Linked DNA regions of Oryctolagus cuniculus. Each later gene encodes a partner of the first gene's protein in a complex. Links are inferred from orthologs where the notes say so. Each region holds a gene or a part of one and is shown on either strand. Other genes may lie near its edges.

Region 1 (4,307 bases):
CACTGGAAGATGACCCAAGTCCTTGGGCCCCTGCACCCACAAGGGAGACCCAGAAGAAGCTCCTGGCTCCTGGCTTCGGATCAGCACAGCTCCTACCATTGCGGCCATCTGGGGAGTGAACCAGCGGATGGAAAACCTCTCTCTCTCTGCCAACTTTGTCTTTCAAATAAATAAATAAATAAGTCTTAAAAAAAGAGCAGCTGCCCTTGGGAGCAGGGACCCCTTCCGCCTGGGGCTGGACCCCACGCAGCGGCAGGTTTGGGGCGGGGGGGGAGGGAAAGACTGCGCTTCCTGCCCCTGCCCTCCACAAGCTGGAGGACTCGCCCAGGGCCCCCGCCGTCCTGAGCCCACGGCCTCCTGGGACACAGCCCTCGCATGAGTGTCGCAAGGGGACAGACCGTCTCCGGCTGCTGCCAGCGGCGTGAGAGCAGACGCACAGCCTGGGCTCTTGCTCACACCGGGCTCCCGGGCCTCCTGGTCAAGGGCCCTCCAAGTGCCGCCCCTGTCTCACACAGGAAGCCACAGGTCCAGCACCGCGGCCACCCAGCTGACTAAAACCCCGAGGGGCGAGTCTGGCGCGGAGGGGAAGCTGCGGCCTGGTCCCACCGAGCCCCTGCATCAGGGTTCTGGAAGGCTGGCCTCCCTGCACGTGAGCCTGCACACAGTCAGTCCCCTGTCAGGGCAGAGGCCAGGATGACGTGCGAATCTCGGACTAAGGCAGGGAGGCACAGCTGGCGACAGGGAGCCCCGGAGTACCTGGTCGGTGACGTCATACACCACGATGATGCCGTGGGCCCCCCGGTAGTAGCTGGAGGTGATGGTCCGGAACCGCTCCTGGCCGGCTGTGTCCCACTGCAGACAAGCGAGCAGCACAGTCGGCCCGCGGCCCAGGCCGCAGCCCCCTCCCCGGGGCCCTCGGGCGACACTCACGATCTGGAGTTTGATGGTCTTGCCGTCCAGCTCGATGGTGCGGATCTTGAAGTCCACCCCGATGGTGCTGATGTAGCTCTCCGTGTACGTGTCATCCTAGGGCCGGGGCCAGCGCAGCGCCTCAGCCACGGGGCCCCAGTGGGGCACAGGGGAGCCCCAGTTCTCAGCACCCCAACGTTTGGGCCCTGTGCCATTTAGTCTGATGTGTGACTGGTGGGTCCCACGACTTCACCCTGGGTCCCCAGGTCTCGCAGCCACTGTGCTCTGGGGGGCCCTTCCCCCCGCTGCCAGCTGGGACCCCAGGCTGGGGGACGGGAGCTTCTACTCACAGCAAACCGCAGGAGTAGGCACGACTTGCCCACGCCCGAGTCGCCGATCAAAAGCAGCTTAAACAGGTAGTCACTGGGAAGAGAAGAGAGAGTGTGAGGGCAGGCAGCGCACTGCTGCCACCCTGGGCTCGCGGCCGCGGCCCCCCAGATCTCCCGCCAGGCCTGGCTGGGGGAGCGCTGCCCTGGACGCGACAGGGCGCCGGGCGCTGAAGGGCGGGATGCTGTGAACCAGAGCCCGGTGCCGCCGCTGGGACTTTTCCCAGGACTCCAGACCTTCCCGGCCCGTCCAGTGGCTTGGCAGGGCAGGCCCCAGAGGGAAAGCTGAGCTCAGCCCGGAACCTGCTCAGTGACAAAGCTGCGCGCACAGCTGAAGTCGCCACGAAGAGACCCCAGGCCAGGGAGGAGACTGAGCTGCGAGGGGGCCCCAAGGCGGGGTCTCACCCACCCCGCACCGCGGCCCGGGGGGCGCTGCCCGGGGAAACCTGCAGCCTCCAGCTGGGGCAGAAGAGGGAAGCGGCAGAGAGGAAGCAGAGCGCACCGCGGGGAAGTCCGAGTGCAGAGCCGAGCCGGCAGCGAGGCCCAGAGCCGGCGCCGCGAGGCAAAGGCCGCGCCACGGCGCCCGGGCCCGGCAGCAGCGGGACAGCGAAAGCAGGGTGGCAAAGGCGGGACGAGGCGCGGGAGACCCCGCGAGCGCGAGGCGCGGGAGACGGGACCAAGCGCCGCCCCGGGCCCTGCGCCTGGCCAGCCTCGGCCCCAGACCGGGGAGGCGGGCGCGGGCAGGGCCCCAGGGCTGGCACACCTGCACTCCAGGGGCCGCAGAGACAACGTGGAAGCCGGCCTTCCGAGCCACCTTCGAAATCCTCACGGCCGCAGGGGGCTCACACGGGCTCCCCACGCTTTCCAGGAATTCCTCCACCACGCCGGAATCCCGACTCCGCCGGGACAGCCCGCGCCCCGCCTTCCCGGGCAGCCCCCTGCCCATCCTCCGGGAGCCGCACCTCTCGGTTCAGACAGACGACGGAGGACCACCGCCCCGCGCCCAGGGGCTGGGCCGCTCGGATCCCGCCCGAGCGCACTTTTGCGGGGCTTAATCGACTTCGCTTCTCGCTTGCCTCCAGGGCTCTGAGCCCCCTCTCCGCCAAGCTCCACACCCCAGGCGCTGCTCTTCTTCGCCAAGAGCCCGACCCAAAAGAGCCGAGTCTGAACCCAGAAACCGGCGTGACAGGCTCCGCACAGCCGGGGAAACTGAGGCCTGGGGACGCCGGGGCTGCCGGGTCACCTGACCGCGGAGGCCTGCGCGCCGGCCGCGCGGCTCCCAGCGCTGCCCTTGGGGCTGCCGCTTCGGGCCCCCGCTTCGAGGACTCGGGGGTGTCAAGACGGGGTCCTGGGCCCCCGGGGGGAGGGGCGGGACCCGGATGTGTGTATGTGTGGGGGGGGGGTGTCAGTGGTAGAGGGACCCGGATGTGGGGGCGCCGCACAGTCCTGACCCGGGCCAGACAACTCCGGAACGCGTACAGCCCCGTACTCGGGACCGAGGCTGCGCCAGACGGCGCGGGCGGGGCTCACTCACTATTCGGGGTTCATGGCGGCGGCGGCGGCCCGCTCGGTCGCTCCCAGTCGGCTCTGCTCCGCCTCCCGTTCCAAGATGGTGGCCGCTCCGCCCCTGAGGCCCCGCCCGCGACGCGCAGGCGCACACGGTCCCGACAGGGGCCTCGCCGCGCTGCTTACTGGAACTTGTAGTCCCCCACGGTGCCCGACTCGCCACCCCCCACGGCGCAGGCGTCGCTGCGAGCCCACGCCTGTCCTGCCGCGCACTGCCTTCTGGAGCTTGTAGTCCGCTTCCTGGTAGCCGCGGGCCGAGGACGGCTCGGGCTGGCGCACCCGCCTTCTCCCTCTTCGGCTCCCAGGTTGGGAGCTCTGCGTGGGAAGGTGGCGCCGGTCATGCACTAGTCAGAGCTCCTCACGCACAGCCACGGGCCCAGGAGGATGTCCTCACACTAGTTTTATAGGTGGAAAAAAAAAACCGGGGCTCGGGAAACTCGCTCAAGGTCAAACCCGAGGACGGCCGATCTCGTTAAAGACCGGGCCGTCTGGGGCGAAGGAGCGAAGGCTCTCGAAGAAACCCCGAGCCGAGCAGCGCCCCCCACAACTGGGCTGGGGCAGAGGGCCTGGCCCCCGTGGGAGACACGCGCAGCCTCTCCCACCCATCCCAGCCTGGGGCACCCGCGGCCTCCGTCTCAAAACAAGCCCAGCACAGATTCAAACGTCTTTATTTCTCCAGTTACATCTGAAAATGGCGCGACCGCCTCACCCCACCCCAGCTGGGGAGCCCTCCGGCCCCGGCGGGAAGCTGCAGGCGCGGAGGCGGCGCCCCGGCGGGGCAGTGCATAAGGCCGGGCGCGGCGCGGGGCCGGCGGGCGAGGAGGGCTCCGGGCTCTCCGTCCCGGGACACCGGGCGATGGCGAGCTGGTGGCGTCCCCTGGAGGCCGGGAGGGGCGGGAGCAGGTCAGGGAGCCCTGCGGGGCGGCGCCGCTCGCGGGAGATACTCCGCGCGCGATGGGGGTGATTAAGGCCTGGGCGGTACCACTAGAGAAGGGCCGGGAGTACCGGGACGGAGGGCAGGGGCGCGGCCAATAACTTATTTCTCTATATACAGAAGCAACGGCCGGGGGAGGGCGGGGCTTAGTGTTCCGGGCTCCGGATCTGGGCGAGGCGAGCAGCCAGCCCCTCCCACGGGCCTGGCAAGGGGCTCTGCTGGAGAGAATAAATACGGGGCAGCGCTGGGCAGCCAGGCCGGCCTCCAGGGCTCAGGCTGGGACGACGCGGGGAGGTTACCCTGAGATTGAACAGAAAAGACAGGGGTCCTGGGGCTGGGCAGGCGGGACGAGCAGCGGGCCCATGCGAGCGCTGGGGCTGTGCCGGGGGGCGGCTCTGGCAACTGGCTGCCCCTTCAGGCTTAGCCCACGAGGGAGCTCCGTCGGGAGAGGTCCATGGAACTGGAGCTGAGGGTGCGGCTGTCAGAGAGCCCCGCGCCGCCAGGCTGCGGAC
Region 2 (4,253 bases), on another chromosome or scaffold:
TCGTTTCGACACAGCCACTCCACTTTCCCTTCAAGCAAGCTCAGCAGCAATCTGGGGGAAAGGAAGCATTACTTATCCTGGGACAAAGAACACTGTAATCAGCTGGATTTCCACGAGGTTTTGGCAAACAGAAAAGTCAGAAAGTTAACTGATTCGGAACCCAAACCACAGCGCTGGTACTTATTTCTCCCTGTTCGGATTCTATTCTTAATCTTGCATCCCAAAATTTTAGAGCAGGACACACATTTTGGATTTGAGAATGCTCTATCTGGGCTTGGGATGAGACTACATTTATCTAGAGCGGCAGATGTGTTATTCTAACCCCCTGAATCTTCCCTCTTCGATTTCTTCACTGCTCTCTGAGAGATACACTATATACTCCAAAGCTGATCCCTTCCAATTTCCTTTATAGTAGAGGTCTTGGCTATTATAACCATGATGGAATGAAATGACTGTCCTACAGCTGGCAGCAAAATACACAGTGGCTATAAATAAATCCCTAATGCCTGAAAAGTAATTCATTCAACAAAGGAAAAAGAAATAGCACGGGCACTGCTTTGGCCAGCTCACCATTAAAATGCTTACTTTGTAATAGGGGCACCAAAGGAGTAGTTTGAACAGTTCAGATAAAGATGGCTGAGCAATTGTTGTCTTAAACCTCTCCCAAATCAAAAGTACCTGGCACAGGGAACTAACCATACAGGGAACAAACAATGGCCAAAGATGACCATTAGCTTGCTTCTCAAAGTTTCTCCATTTCACCAAAATAAGTGCTAGTGACTGGGATCAAGTGATCTCCACACTTCCATACTGGGATCTTATGTGAGGGTACAACATTTCACACAGGCTGAGGTCAAGCCTGCATATCCAGAAAGATGAACAGTCTTTAAAAAGTTAAACCCACATTAAGCAATGCTAGCCTTAACCAAAATAACAGGAGGGCCAATCAGAGATACAGACAGAATTCCCCCTACCCCCAACAACTCGTGATATTAACATGGGAAATTAACTTGAAAATTTATGAACTTCAGGTCTATAGCAGAGAAAGACATCGGGAGAGGAAAACCTTATGTTATCCTGTGTATGATTCCCATTAAAAGCAACATAAAGTAGTCTCTCTTTTTGGAGGTCTCCTAATTAGCTGCTACAAAATAGTATCCAAATTAGCAGCCATTCATTAACTCCCTGAAACATAAAGTATCAAGAAAGAATGCTTTTGGTCTCATTATGGGCCAGTACAGCTGCAGACCAAGCGGTGTCTGTCTGGGAAGGGAGAAAAAACAGCAGCTGGCACCCTGGGCAGCCGGAGAGGTGTGCAGGGCTGCGTGGCCAGCCACAGGGGGGAGAGTGCTTCACCACACCAGCGACGGAGAGAGTAAACCAAGCTGACACAGCACCACAGAGAAGGGCTTCTGGCATTGTAACTCTGCCAACAATTCTCCCATATGATTAAAATGATACAAAACCAAAATCAAAGAAACGGCATCTCTAAATTCCTCCCTTTTATCCCGAGAAGCAACATCACGGGAAGCGCAGGGGCACAAGTTTTCCTGCCAGGATACAGCTGCACTGCAACAGGTCACAAGGCCCATGCCACTCGCGGCACTGACTATTACGCACGAGGACAGATGTCACACAAACAGCAGCAAAGGGGTTACGACGCCAAAGGGCGCTGAGGACAAACAGGCGGAGTGGGCTCCCCTTGCAGCCAGTCCGAGACCCGAAGAAAGAGGGGACAGCAGACGCCAGACGTGGAGGCCGGGAACTCCTCGAACCGTAAGGGCTGATTCTGGGGCCCGTGCTGTGGGCAACGTGGGACAACCACCCCAGCATTCGCCGGGGGGAAAGACGCTCTAACTCGGCACGAAGCAAACGTGCATCAGTTTAACCGTCAAGTAGTCACTGGAAAACATTCGAGAATAATAACGTGCAACAAAAGTATGAATTCATGGAAATTCAGACTGAAACAGCCTGGGGAAAAAAAAAAAAAAACCAGTGCCCTTTTAACCCCATTAAATGAGGTTAAAATAGGTGGAGGAGGATGCGACAGGGAGAGCCGCGGTGGCCAGAGCTGAAGGCGAAGCGGCTCCTGCCGGACACGGGTTTCTTTTTTGAACTGGAAATGTTTCGAAAACAGCGGCGATGCTGGCGCAACTTCGTGGATGCACTAAGAACCACCGAACTTCACACCGGAAAAGGCAGAATTTGATGGTAAACAGGTGGCGCACGCATATACGGCGTTAAGTCTAGGTGGCGACACGTGAATCAAGTTTGGGAAACCTGCCCTTCCAAGAGGGCGGCGGCTCCAGGAGTCTGCGGACGTGGCCGGACGTCTCGGGCCCACGGGGGCGAGGCCTCTGCCTCAGTTCTCAGAAAGCCCCGTCTCCTCCCCAGATGGAACGAGGCCCGAGCGCACAGCCCCGCACGATCCTGCCGCCAGGATTCCTTGGGTCAGCTCAGCATCCGCCGGACCCCGCGACTGCAGACCCTCTCCCCATACAGACGCGCCCCGCAGTCATCTTCTCTCTCGCTGCCCAGACCCCGCCCGCCGCCCCGCGGCCCCTCCGGCACCCCTCCGCCGCCGGCTCCCCTTCAGACAGCTGTCCCGGGCCCTGGGGCCGCCCCTGCCCCTGCCCCTGAGGCCGACCTCACAGGCCTCTCCTGCCGGGTTCCGTACCTGCCTTCTCGGCGCCGCCGTCCCAGCGGCTGGAGATGGGGCCGTCACCCTGTGCACTCCGGAGGGCCATGTCCCGGGGGCCCGGGCTCCAGCCCGAGCCCCGGCTGGTGGCAGAGCCGTGAGAAGACGCGGCTATGGCCGCTGGACGCAGCGCCCACTCCGCCCGGGCAGGCTCGGCTTCGTCGGCCCGCGGCACGCAGGCGCAGCGGAGACCACGCCCCACACCGGCACGTGACGCTCCGCTGCGCGGGGGGCGGGGCCGGGGCGGTGGAGGCGCGCGCGGCCCGAGCCGCCTGGGACAGCGGCGGGAGCGCGCTGGGAGAGTTCCCGCCGTAGCAGCTGTCGCTCTTGGCCTAGTGCGATCGGGACTTGTCTGCAAAGTGGGACTAAGAGCACTGAGCTCACAGGTGCTTAGAACGTTACCAGGCCTGCTGTGTAACTGTGAGATGCCGTTTCAGCTTAGGGATTTTACGCTGGCGCCCAGGGCGTGCACTGTAGACGCCGTCCACGTCGACCCCTGTGGGCACCGCGCCCGCCTTCTGCACGGCCGCGACCCCCGCGGCTGACCAGGCCAGGTCCCGGCGACACGCCCGGCTTCCGAAGGCCACCCGCTCCGCGTCTGCTTGCCCTGCCTCCCCCCGGAGCTCCTGCCCGTCCTGCCCCATCCGCCTCCAGGGCCCCGTCTCGCTGGGGGAGGTTACTCCGAAGTTAATTTGATTTCTAGAACCAATATTCCATTTATTAAAATTAGAAATCCCCAAGCGATTTTTTTCCTTCAACTGACAAATTTTACAATTCTGTTCATAAATTTAGTAAATGAGATTCTTTGGGCTCATTAATGAATTTAATGAAGGCCCTTTGAACATTTGAAACTGGGTTTATAAATTTAATAATTTTCCATTTTTAAGCATCAGAATTTTAAGTCTTTACAAATGTTTGTTAATGGTAGCTAGGTATACATGAGCCTAAGTGTGTGAGGGGCAGAAGAAAAATGGGAATTTTTCTGTGCGATGCAACAAGGCAGCAAACTAACATTTACACATCTAAAGTGGATGTGGTTCAATAACCAGGCTGGGGTCAGCCTCTCTCCTCTGCCCTTCATCAAGGGGACTATTAAGAGGTTCTCGGTGGAACTCCGCACCCAGAAAGCCCTTCATCCAGCAATATTCCAGAGAGGGTGTAGAAGGCCCAGACACAGCATCTGTGAACCACCAGTGTGAGTGCAGACTCGGCTCCCAGCTCTTTCCCGAGATCCCGGCCTGGTCTGCCAGGTGCACTCCTCACTCAATGTCGCTAGCATGCTCACAGCTACCAGTCTCACATCTGAACTCTTTCTTGCATGAAGACAAGAACCAGGTAATGCCCTCCTGAGGCAACACTTTTTTTAAGTTTTAAGATTTAACAATTTCTAACATTTTGCCTCCTTCACTTCATAGGTAGATATTATATACGTGTGCATACTTTTTCTTTAAAAACAGGGATGTTAACATCATAAAAGGATTCGTGACAATCAGAATGTGGGGGAAGGAGGGTATATTGTCACATACCAGGTTTAATTCAGTGAAACAGTTTAACA

The links.
Region 2: the proteins of RAB1B (region 1) and TBC1D20 are in contact, whole or in part, in a crystal structure (PDB 4HLQ), measured with the Homo sapiens proteins. The link is inferred for Oryctolagus cuniculus from reciprocal best matches to the Homo sapiens genes RAB1B and TBC1D20. Residues at the interface, in NP_112243.1 of Homo sapiens: Ser17, Gly18, Ser36, Tyr37, Ile38, Ser39, Thr40, Ile41, Gly42, Val43, Asp44, Phe45, Gln60, Trp62, Ala65, Gly66, Gln67, Arg69, Phe70, Thr72, Ile73, Tyr77, Glu94; in NP_653229.1 of Homo sapiens: Gln97, Gln98, Leu101, Asp102, Arg104, Arg105, Leu107, Arg108, His141, Tyr142, Tyr143, Gln144, Gly145, His147, Asp148, Phe177, Met178, Asp179, Pro180, Thr181, Met182, Lys186, Val212, Ile215, Leu218, Ser219, Thr223, His227, Met272, Ala273.

Annotation. Positions count from the first base shown.
Region 1 is NC_091432.1:5,574,537-5,578,843, forward strand, and holds the start of RAB1B (ras-related protein Rab-1B), read right to left. Parts: upstream 2,980-4,307; 5' UTR 2,844-2,979; coding exon 2,830-2,843; intron 1,333-2,829; coding exon 1,260-1,332; intron 1,027-1,259; coding exon 931-1,026; intron 853-930; coding exon 757-852; intron 1-756. Other genes in the region: KLC2 (kinesin light chain 2), read right to left, coding at 4,216-4,299. UniProt on the Homo sapiens protein: The small GTPases Rab are key regulators of intracellular membrane trafficking, from the formation of transport vesicles to their fusion with membranes.
Region 2 is NC_091442.1:26,546,931-26,551,183, forward strand, and holds the start of TBC1D20 (TBC1 domain family member 20), read right to left. Parts: upstream 2,881-4,253; 5' UTR 2,748-2,880; coding exon 2,678-2,747; intron 52-2,677; exon of another isoform or gene 1-51. UniProt on the Homo sapiens protein: GTPase-activating protein (GAP) specific for Rab1 and Rab2 small GTPase families for which it can accelerate the intrinsic GTP hydrolysis rate by more than five orders of magnitude. Also shows GAP activity for RAB18 GTPase.